Linked DNA regions of Arabidopsis thaliana. The protein of the gene in region 2 interacts with the protein of the main gene of each other region in a pairwise test. Each region holds a gene or a part of one and is shown on either strand. Other genes may lie near its edges.

What was found. The genes of interacting proteins can lie anywhere in the genome.
Region 1: the proteins of HSFC1 (region 2) and TGA9 interact in a two-hybrid assay, tested with the Arabidopsis thaliana proteins (one large-scale study listed by BioGRID).

What each region holds. Positions count from the first base shown.
Region 1 is NC_003070.9:2,622,553-2,630,589, forward strand, and holds the start of TGA9 (bZIP transcription factor family protein), read right to left. Parts: upstream 6,043-8,037; 5' UTR 5,731-6,042; intron 5,377-5,730; exon of another isoform or gene 5,269-5,376; 5' UTR 5,179-5,268; intron 5,170-5,178; exon of another isoform or gene 4,956-5,169; 5' UTR 4,900-4,955; coding exon 4,793-4,899; intron 4,317-4,792; coding exon 4,222-4,316; intron 3,721-4,221; coding exon 3,638-3,720; exon of another isoform or gene 3,261-3,637; coding exon 3,051-3,260; intron 2,372-3,050; coding exon 2,333-2,371; intron 2,173-2,332; coding exon 2,113-2,172; intron 1,782-2,112; coding exon 1,704-1,781; intron 1,545-1,703; coding exon 1,496-1,544; intron 1,391-1,495; coding exon 1,119-1,390; intron 898-1,118; coding exon 676-897; intron 1-675. UniProt on the Arabidopsis thaliana protein: Together with TGA10, basic leucine-zipper transcription factor required for anther development, probably via the activation of SPL expression in anthers and via the regulation of genes with functions in early and middle tapetal development.
Region 2 is NC_003074.8:8,939,235-8,943,392, reverse strand, and holds HSFC1 (heat shock transcription factor C1), read right to left. Parts: upstream 2,328-4,158; 5' UTR 1,939-2,327; coding exon 1,711-1,938; intron 1,682-1,710; exon of another isoform or gene 1,627-1,681; coding exon 862-1,626; 3' UTR 519-861; downstream 1-518. UniProt on the Arabidopsis thaliana protein: Transcriptional regulator that specifically binds DNA sequence 5'-AGAAnnTTCT-3' known as heat shock promoter elements (HSE).

The DNA of each region.
Region 1 (8,037 bases), on a different chromosome or scaffold from region 2:
TGCATACCTACTTACTACCTTGGTGGGCTAATGGGTATTACAAAAGTCAATACATATCAATAACAATCAATTTGATCATAATGTTTGAAAACAAGAAATTTTTTTAAAATATTTTTGTTGAGTTCAAAACAAAACATTGAAAGAGATGGAGAATACTTTTAACATATTCTCTTTGTCTTTTTTTCAGCTATATTATATATAAAAGGTAAAAACAAGTTGGTGAAAGAAATTTGGCTCTTGGAATAATTAAATCAAAGACCAAAACAACATATAATTATTATAGAACATCAAATGTTGCTTTCACGTATTGTCTGTTTCTGGATTATTTGTTTTTTTTTCAATTAGATAATTTAGCCAGCACATACGTTTGTTCATATATGTACGCAAAATATATGCACGTATTTCCGCATTTTTAAACATTTGTACATCTAGTATATATATAAAACGTTAAAATTTACCCAATATATTTCTAAAAAATATATTCGAATTCCTCTCTAACTATAAACCAAAATACGTTGCAAATTTTGTTTAGTCAAAAACTATCTACAGTTATATAGTAGGTCAAATTTTGTGTATATTTCACACGGTGTTTTTTTCTCTCGTTTGCATTCGTTTGTAATTATTGTTCGAGCAAATGAAGTAAAAAAAAAAAAAAGATAGGTGAGAAAATGGAACCTGGCGGATAAAGCCTTCGAGATTAGAGATCTTTCCGAGAGCGACAGCCATTTGTTGCATTCCGTCAATGACTGGAGATGCGGCGAGAGTATCGATGAGAGATTGCTGAAGTTGTTCGAGGCCTTGCGAGAGAGCCTCCTCTGCTTGTTGCGACGAGTGTTGTAGGCTATATATTCCCATCAGTTGTTGCTCCGTCAATAGATCCATTTGCGACACCAATATCTAAGATCACATCCCTTTCTTTAGTTAATCATGATTCCACAACTTTTTTATCACACGCAAATAATTAAACCGAAGAATACTCATTTCTGTTTACATTTTGCAGCAATGTTTCAGATTTGTTGATGTAATTTACTAACGTGAATATCATTTTGTTTTTCAAACGCAAAACCTAAAACTTACGTTTGTAATCATGGGGTAAAGTAAGGAAGAACAAGTCGAACCTTGATTAGGTCGGATGGACGGAAACCAGCCATCCAAATAAAACAACGTTCGGCTGGGGACATCCATGTCCCAATGATGAGGTGAAAAACATCGGCTTTCGCTGCCACGGCTTTTAATCGGAATATCTCATCAAAATGAGCAATGTAACCGTCAACGATCAACCTTAAATCATTGTCAGATAAATGAGCCTGAAGACCGGTTCGAATCTCCGACATATGCCGGTTATCATCCTCTAGCCATCTCCCATATTCCATGTCAAATATTGCAGCTCCTACGTACATTCGATTTTCAACATTTTGTTAATAATAGTTTAACCATTATTGTACTTATTTTAATACAATAATACATTGCAATTGGTGTTTTAGGTTTCAAGTACCGGAAGTGATGTTAGGTCCTGGTGGTCCACAACCACCCATGAACAGCCCCTACCATCGACATAAACAATATATTAATTTCAACAAACAGACATTATTAATAACCAATGAACAATTGAGAAACTTAGCAAATGACAGGTTTTGACAAATTTAAAAAAAGATTTAGCAGAATATATAGGATTATAGGAATATAAATGATTCAATTTCAACCTGAGAACGAGCTCGCTGAAGTTCTTGCTCCAATTGGGAAAGCTTTATCCTACTTGATTCTAGCTGTTGCACATACGCCTGCTCAAACCATATGTATATGCATTTGTTATTTTCATACTAGTATCATTACATATAGAATAACAAGAAATGCGGAACTTATACGTTCATAAATGAATTATAGAAGACTGGTAAATGGTAGATAAAGAAATAAATGCTCATGTAACAGCGGTTTCCAAGAAGAATAAAAGACACCACTGCGTATGTTTTACTAGTAGCAATAGCATTATTGTAATTCTATGCAACAAATTATCATTTGGAAAAAGTAGCAAAGAATATATAAATAGGTCAAAAAAACAAAAACAAATGATAATAATTTGAGGTGAAAAGTCAGGCAATTATATGGTCATACCTTTTTCCTAAGACGGCTTTTGCGAGCAGCTTCTCTATTTTGGGCCAAACGTCTCAACGTCTGCATAATCCAGATTTAAGAACATTTAAACAAGAAGTTAACGAATTAATTCAGGTAAAAAAGGTTACTAAAAAGTAAGTACATATATAGGAATGGATATGTCTCCTCGGGGGAGTCAAATAAAATGTATAGGAAATGATGATGATGAAAGTTAAAGTACCTTAGCATCAAGCTGTTTGCCTGAAGTTGTAGCCTTCCTCTGCAATGTCAGAGAACAGAGATGAAAATAGAAATTCATTCAGTGGAAAGAAAGTAAACATAAATTAAATTGTGTGAGTGAAGTCGACTCATGTGATAAATATTTAAATACCATTTACACACAATTAAAAAAACAGCATTATTAAATACTTTTTTTTAATGTAATATTAAATCTAAGCAATATGAACTCATTTAGGGAATATATGTGTTGTTAAAGTAAACATAGAAATGAGGATATGTAATCATGTAGTAAAAAGTAAATTATAAAAACAATAATAACACCTAGGAAGATTCTTCTGCTTTATTCCGCTTTTTGGGGATTTCATTTAATAATTTGTATTTTAAATTTGTCTGTTTTCATTATTTTATCAACGATTCGAGAGGTCAAAATTCTGAATTTTCTCTGATCCGTTTCCTTTTTGGGATCTGTGTATGTTTTTGTTTTATTGGAAAGATTTGTTAGGACATAGACATATATGAAAAAGCATGTGCATGCATATCTATCAAATGACAAGGAGAGAGAGAGATAGGCTAATGATATACATACCATGTACATGCACCAAATTAAGCATGCATGTTTCATGATGACTCCAAGTACGTACCATGCATATATCTCTTTCTAAAATTAAATTTTAAAAAGTGATGATGATGATGATGATGATGATGATGATGATGAGTACCTTATCTTCCGAAGGTTTAGGAGGAGCTAAAGTTCGAGAAGTGGAAGGAAGTCCAGATGTTGAACTTGAGTTTGCCATGTTATTATGATGAGGTTGAAGCATGAGATGATGTTTGCTACTCATAGGAGACTCCGGTTGTTGACTTTCAGCTTTGCCGGAGAAATTAGCCGATCCTGAATCGCTGCTCTCTCCTCCTGACTTGGAACTCTCCTGCAATACATATTCAACATAATCATACTCATCATCATTAACGTATAAGATAATTAATAAAAAGTCAGAAAAGGGATAATCAATGTAACTAAGGAGGAATTGACCTTAGCGTATATAATTTGACAAACGGGGTACTATAAGTTTATGTAATATAAAATAAAGTCAAGAGAAAGGAATGGAGTAATTAACTACTCTAAAATCGCTATCAGCTTTTGAGTTGAAAGAAGCAAAAATAAGAGATAGTAAGAGGAACAAGAAAGCTGAAACATGTATATAAAAGTGAGGGTAAAATGAAAATATAAGTTTTAAGTTTAAATAGGAATGCCGAAAAAGGAGAAAAAAACAAGAGGAAAGGGTCAAAGAAGAAGAAAGGGTACAGTAGGAAGAGTTTGGTGAGTTCTGATTGGCCACGAAGGGAACATCTCCAGAGTCGTAGCTCCTCCTCCTCCTCCTAATAAAGCTGCAATTTTACCCATCATTACATTTATCAGATATGTAATGTTCATATGTAATCATGTAGTATGCTAGCTACTTATTAAATGTGTGCATGCATGTATATGTGTTTTTGATGTAATTTAAGTAGTACTACAATATATTCTACTTAGAACTAACTACATCATTTATCACGTGGAATCTATATATAACATGACACATTTTACTAATAGTATAATTATGAATATTTTGATATAGAGGAAGTTAGGGAGTTGGTAAAAGATATTTTCTTCTTTTCTTATTTTCTAAATAAAGAGAAGAGAAATAGAAAAACAAGTCACGCCATCCAAGGCTCTCTTTTGCCTCCGTATCATCACCTAAACCTATCTAAAGACTTGTTCAGACTACTCTCAGCTTTTTATTTTGTTTTTTCCAGTTTCAGTTTTTTGCTCAGAATTTTAAAAACTTTATTGGAGTTTGTTAAGGAAAGCTCACGTCATGAAGATTTGAGAGAGAGAGGGGGGCTTACGTGGCTTGGCTTCCTCGTTCCTATACTTGACACCTTGCAGAACAATTGCTTCTTCTAGCTCTCCAAAATCGAAACTGGACGATCCATCTTGGTTACTGTTTCATTTATTAATAGTATTGTTTAATTAGTACAAAGAGAATATTCATCATGTGTTACTACAACTATACAATCAGAAACCAAGAAAAATTGGAGACCAAAAGGAACAACAATTAAATTAAAATATAAATACTTGATTAGAGGGTCGCATTTTGAGTTAGAAGATTAATAAAGACGGTCGCATATAATGAAAGTTTACACAAAAGCTAAAGCACATATAAAACCTATTTCGGATGATCCATAACACATTTTTTAGTTTCTGTTTTACCTATAGATTTCCGTTGACCATTTCATATCTCATAAATGAAACCGTATAACATATCATAATACTACTAAGAAAATGACAAATTGAGAATAAACAAAGAAAACCCATATAAAATTCAATTAGAGCTCAATATTAAGATATGTAATATGAATAAAGTTGAGCTTTATGTATATGTAAAGAAGAAAAGACGAAGGAAGATTTGTTAATTACATGAAACCAGAAGATGGATGATTGTTGTTGAGACCATGAATAAGTGAATAAGGAAGATGATGATTGTGGTTATGGTTTGTAGCTTCGCTCATTCTATGGTTCGCCATCTCTACTCAAGAAAACAGCTTCAATTGATGATATCTCTTCTTGATTAGTCTCTTTTCTGCAAAACACATTAAATCTTGAAATGATGAAAAAGATGATAATCACTATTGAGAGAAGCTCGAGTTAAGAAACACAAGAGAGAACTAGCTAGGGAGAGGGAGAGGGAGAGAGATTGCAAAGTCTTATAATTAATTCTTGATTAGTTGATCAAATGATTGGAATTTGAAAAGAAAAAGCTAGTTGATGATATGAACATGAAAGTAAGATATCTATGTGTTTACCTTTTGTGATGTTTTGCTTTTGGTGTTTGAGAACAAAGAGGAGAGAGAGAAAGTAGAATGGAAGCTTTCTCGTCAAAGGCTTTTTTATGGCTGAACAGAAAAACAAAAGAGGGTCCAATCTTTTCTCTTTCCGAGATACATATACAAAATTATGTGGGCGTGTATATATTTGTAGTTGGATAGAGAAATGATAATAAAGTATTAGTAATTGACTAATGTATAGTATCATTACTCTTTCTCTCTTTATTACTATTCTCTCTATACTTGTATGTGAAGAAACCTTTGTGATTCATCATCACTCTCTCCTTTTCACCACCTTTCTCTATCTATTTCCATAGTAAACACAAATTCCACTTGCTAAATTTCAAAATTTTATTGAAGAAAACAATAAAGAAATATTGATAATTTTTCATGGTAAATCAGACGAAGATCTTGTCCTTCCTAGACTTTGTCTCCAGGCTATATTTATGTGTTGCATTTTTTTTTGTTTTCCAAATAATAATATTGGGTTCAAAAAAGTTGTACAGAAAATTGAAAATTTAGTTGACTAACTTTATAGCTGTCAAGGGTGAAGCTAGTACTTGGCAATTGATCAGATGGAGTGGACGATCTCTATTCATACACAAACCTGAAATGTAGAAGTTAAACAGAAAATCAAAAGTCTAAGAGTGCTTAATTAAAAGAGCTTTATCCTTGTTAAGAAAAAGAATGGAGCTTTATCTTTGGTAAAGAATAAAAGAGCCTTATCCAATATGTAGAAGATAAATAAGATGATTGGATATAAGATTAATTGGACCGATCACAAGAAAATGGAGGTAGATTATTAAGAAAACTATCGACTTCTCTAGGTAGAAAAAAATTGAGCGAGAAGAAAATTAAATGAGAGTTTGTAATTTAGTCCATAAAATAAAAATAGAAGAAAGAGAGCAGAAAAAGAGGAGGAACCCACTAGAATCACTGACTCCTACTCCACAATCTCTCTCTCTCTCTTTGTAACCGCCTGTTTGTGCTTATTGGCTCTTTTTCATCAAATCTCTTTTTGGGCTTATTCACGTACACATTTTTTCAATAATCTATCATCTTTTCTGTAGTATTATTCATCGTATTCACGTACATGCCTATATCAAAATACGTATCTGTATATGTGAAAGTAAAGTGGTGAAATTTGCATAAAAGAATTGGGTTTCACTCTATCATCTTAGCAGCATGGATCATGCATGAAGTTATTTTTTCTAAGTAGTCTGTGTGTTAATCTAAAACCAAAAGAAAACTAACAGGAAAATTCTAGAATTATATCAAGAATCTTTGAATGGGCATGATATATACAGCATATACTTTATATTTTTGCCAAAAAAAAAATGATATATATATCTTTAGTCTAGTAAACAAATATATACTATAACTAAATGATCGAATACAACTCCCCAGCTATAGTTTAAGCTAAATTATATATATTATTTGGATGATCTAATGAGTTTGTTATTGGAATAGTACTAGAGATAGTGATGAAATAATGTTAATACACATAATCATAAATTCATAATCAAAGACAATGCATTAATGTGGGATAAGGAATGTTTGTTGATTTGTGTATGTATATTAAAATAGCAGAATCGAGTGAGTTTCTATTTCTAAACTACAACTCTTTTTGTTAAATGACCTTTGAGACAGAGAGAGGGATAAGAATAGTATGAATATAATACGTCTACTTATATGTAACACACTATACATAATTACAGATTTTTTTTTAGTTTCATCTTCAGTCTATAACCTTTTGAAAGCCGAGAGTGATAATATGTGAAACAGTTTCTGAAAGTTTTTTCTTCTTCTCAAAAATTAACAGCTTTTAGGCTTTAAGTTTCAAATTTGGATATAATAGAACTAGAGCAACTTTCTCTAGTCGGTTAACCTAACATACTTAAGTATTGAATAATTAACTATTTTGCCTCTACCAGTTCAACCAAAAAAGCCTTAGAATAATGACAATTATGTAGACCAATAAGATAAAATTAAACGGCCTTCTTGCATTAATCGTAAATAAATATAGAAAATAGCATTAAAATTATCAATAATTATTGTAAACATCTCAATCGAGTGTTATTTAAATTGATTAGTTTGGTATTATCCTATAATTTTGTTGATCGGTCAACATCCACTCCCTGTCATCACCTAAATCCTAATGCCACATTTCAGATTCCTTTCCTTTATTAGAAATTGTTATATGCCTCCTTTGATTCGTATAGCTGTTTTAGTCAATGCAGCTCTCTTGCAAATCCACATTTGTCATGGCTTTATTCCTTTAGTTTGTGTCATAATGACCCCCTCCGAATTGAGAATTTATTTTTCACGGCTCTTTAGATGCTTTTTTTGGGTTCGGTAGAAGTATATAACTCACGGTTAAGCTTTTATAGAATCTCAATATTAATTTGTCCATCAAGGCATCAAAATAATGTTTAGATTACCATCTCAGCCCAATACCGGCCATAATCTTATATGGAGGATGCATATTATTATGTAGACATCAATGATCAATCACTTTGGGACAACTACTCAAGCTCGTTTTCTAACGAATTGGGATTTTTGAATTACTTACTCAAAATAGTGTAGTCGGTTTTGGTCTAGCATGATCTAAAAAGTCCAACAAGCCGAGAGGCCCAAAACCCTAATATTCAAAACTTCGTGGCCTAAATGTTTCATCCTGTGTAATTTTCTTCAACAACCATTATCTTGGGTGAAAATTGTCAAATTTGCATATTTTCCATTATTGTCATTGACTTTCTGATTCGGTAACAGTCATATGATGTAAAAATGGGCCACATCCTTATTTGGTTTGCTTCAGGCCCATATTCGTTTGGGCTG
Region 2 (4,158 bases):
GAGACATCAGGTGGTCCAATTTAGATTTATCGTTGTTTTATACTCTCTCTCTCTCTAGCCCAATGAGTGTTCGAAACGTTGTTGGCCGACCAAAGTCCCGTGGCTAACTGTCACGTCTCAAAATTTAACAATGTCATGTTATCAATTTTAGATGAAAGTGAAAGTGGAGCGTCGTGTTGATGATACGTTTGAATCTTGAATGGATGTCTCGTTGACTTGTTATCAGTCGACCGACTTGTGTCGCCTTAACCACGTGGGTTATATATAGGCAATGTTTCTTCTACTTTATGATCAGCTTTAAGCATGTGGGTTATATAAGCTAGTAAGTCTATATACCATGTCAACTGATTCGTTAATGTGTTTGAGAACAAGTGTTTCAAGAGAAAGAGTCAAATACTCGATATGGTTTAGTTTAAAGATGGCCATTAACGATAAATTTGAAATGGTATATAGACTTAATTACTAGCTTAAAGTGGAAAAAGTAAAGCCTATATTTTGTTGTTATTACAAAGATATAAGGCTACAATAATACTTTATTCAAAAATCAAAACACTGAAGTAGTGAAGAAGATCAAAATTGTTGTTATTACAAGTGTGAATATATTACACAAGTCACCTGAAAGTACTTTTAAAAGGAAAACAAAGTCAACATATGAACTTTTAACAAATATAATCAGAAATTATATACTGTCAAAACTTTCTACAAACGATGACTACTGACTCAACTATGGATCTGTCCTTATTTTCTTTCTTTCTTTTGGTTATACATAAAATAATTAAGAACAAACACACAAAAAATAAATAATAATAATAATATAACAATAATAAAGTCTAAAGATCATATATCATGTGAAGCTAAACGCTAAAAGCCACCTCGAAACAGAGAAAATGGATAAGGCGGTGTTGTTGGTGGATTTGACTCTACCACTCCTCCAAACGTCGCCGTTTCTTTATACCTTCTTTCTCCCTGAATACTCCCACATCCTCCTCCTCCTCCTCCGTTAACACTCTCCGGCAAAGAAAACGTCGACGTCAAAGATGATGACGTCGACGACGTTGAATTCGAGAGCATCGACTTCGCCACCAAACCCGTCTCGTAACTACCAAACTGTCCTTGCGTCATAGGAACAATCCACCCATCCGGTGAATGATTCCGGTAAAGATTCTCCGTTGATGACGGCGACGGTGTTGATGATGACATAACCCTAAAGACCCTCCCTTCATCTTCTTCCACTTCTTCTTCCTCTGACTTCACCGTCGACATCGTGACACGACGCTTCTTCTTGTCGGAAACTTGTTGTTGTTGCTTTGTCCGTTCTTTCTCGAGCATCATTCTTGGAAGAAGATCAGGATCTTCAACGACTTTGTAAAGAAACGCCATCATCTGCTCCGGTCTCTTCTCCGTCGCTTCGATCCTCCGGTTCATCCTCTGAATCTCTGCCTCTAGCTCCCTCTGCTCTTCTTTTAACCGTTCGATCTCCCTCACAATCTCACCGTCCTCCAAATCTTGACCGTACATCCCCCGCGCGTGTTTCCTACGCGCTATGTTATTCAACAAATGCTTCTGTCCCCTTAGAAAATGCTCGTTCGCAAACTCCCACCGGTCCGGATCCACTTTCCTAAACCCCTAAAGTAAATAAAGAAAGGATCATTAGTTCGTAATCCCCTGTTTCCAGTTTCATGTATGAGTTTCGGTTATGAATTAACTTACATAGGTGTTGAGTTGACGAACAAAACTGCTGAAATTGTTGTGTTTGAAATAAGCAGGTAAGATTCGTTGCGAGAAGTCGAGTGGATCAACGACTATGAAACTGTTGTGAGCAGGTCCCCAAGTGATGAGCCAATCGGTGGAAGGATCATTGACCATCTGATATGTTTTCACGATGAAAGGTGCGATCACGTTGTTGTTGTTGTTGTTGTTACTATTGTCGTCCTCCATCTCTCTCTTTCTCTGTTTTCCTTATGGTTTATATGTTTGTTGTTGGTGGTGGTAAAGAAATTAAAGAGGAGCCTGGAGGGTTTATATAAAGATAGGAAAATGAGATGTGAAAATAGTAAGTTAAGTGTAGTTGACAGTGAGACTATATTGACGTGGCTTGCTTTTTGTGATAACGTGGCGGGTTCGTGTTTTGCCTTTTACGGTGTCACGAGTGAACTGTGGGACCTATGCAGGTGTGCCTCTAAGCTTTCAGGTCTTTTTTGCCCTTTTTGTTTTGTTTATATTTTCTTATGTCACAAGTTATGTGATACATTTGAAATATATGCATATTTAGGCATTGTTTTTTCTTAATTATAATTTTAAGTCATAGATGATTTAAGCTGCTTGACTAATTCTAAGGGTAAGCTAGTCCCAATATAGAAAGCTTAGTCCATCGATTTTTCAACTGGTTTCCGATCCCGAATTAGAAGGATATCTATGATTCATTTGTAATTTCTGCACAAACAAAATTATTTGTCATGATTTCTTTCTAATTCTTGACATGATTTGTTTCTTTCACTTTTTCACAAAAGAACCTCGTCCTCTTCAAAATACTCCAAAACTCTCAAGAGTGAGAGCAACTTATAAAAAAAAAACACATTTGGTGAAACAAACAAATCTTCTACAATGAATAGAGAGGGTATAATTTAATTTATTATATTATAATTTTTCTTTAGTTTACAATTATGTTAAAAAACGTTAGAAGGAACATGCTGTGTATTCAGATTTTAACTTAAAATATCCGACTAATTTAAAATAAAAAATTGCAAACAATAACACTAAATGCCAAGTAAACATGATTTTATAGACAAACTCTTCAATCTGCAAAAGCACTCCTATTTTCTTATACATACATATCCATGGACTCTGGAATAAATAGCCACACAAGTGTTGCTACTTGCAAGAGTTATTATAGGAGTATTATTAAACAATGATTAACATAAACTACTACAAATATAATTGCTAGGTTAAGAATTAAAACCAATAAGTTCCAATAAAAAATCACACGCATCAAAGGCATTACTATTTTATAGTTTAAACCACCACCGAGAAATCCAATAGCAATCTTATATAAAATTTTCCTAATTATTAATTGGATAGATTAATGGGATTAATCTAGACTTAATTAAGGGGACGTGGGTCAAATGCTAACCACATATTACGTATGATATAATAATATAAATAGTTTGAATAAAACAACATTTATAGAATCAAAGCATGGTCCTTAATCCTTGAGAGCCTTGGAGATAATGACCTCCTCGTATAGGCGAGAGTACAGTTCTCCACTTTTCATTTTTTTAATTGTTGTCTCCTCTCTTTGTTTTTCTTAAACTATAATTTACCTTTTCAATCGAATCTTAATTACAACTTTATTTGAACAATATATATATTACTCTCATCGCCAAATGGGATTAGCTATAATCCACAAGCTATAGCTTTTGTTTGTTTAATTACGTACTATCAGTAGTACAATTTCAAAACCTAAGGACAATTTTGATTTTTATGGGATACTTGAAATTATTAGTCAAGATTGATAGGTTTAATTACTTACTACGACAAAATTTTCCAAACTAATATATGTTTTTATTAAAATTAGCGCTTTGTCAACCTACAATTAAATTTATCTATTTCGATTATTATCAGTTACATAAATTGAGAGGACGATAAAAAAGTATTTTGAGACATCTCTTCCCCACCTTATAATTTTTGTTGTCCATAGCGAAATAAAGGAGAACAAGAGATAGTGTAACAGTGAGACGGTGACGTGGTATGCTTTGTAATAACGTGGCAAATTCGTGTTTGCTTTTTACATGCAGGTGCCACAAAGCCTTAGGTCAATTAGCTTTTCTTAGATGGCAAGTTATTAGTCCGAGCCGTTGTGTATTTGTGTGAGATGTTTTCAAGAGACGACGAGCGTGTGGGTGCTTGGATACTGACATGGTCCGCACTGGTTAGTGACGGAGGAACTCAGGAACAAGTACTGATTCGACACGTTGCGTAGAATCTTTTTTGTTGGCGATGCACACTCCACTAATCGAGTATTTTTGTATTTATGGAAAGTTTATTCATTATACGTTGCTTAATTCAGGTATACGACGAACATGATTTTTCATTTTTATTATAGTGTCACACAAATATTATAGGAAACTGATGTCGTACGGATAAAATAGTTTAGTAGAC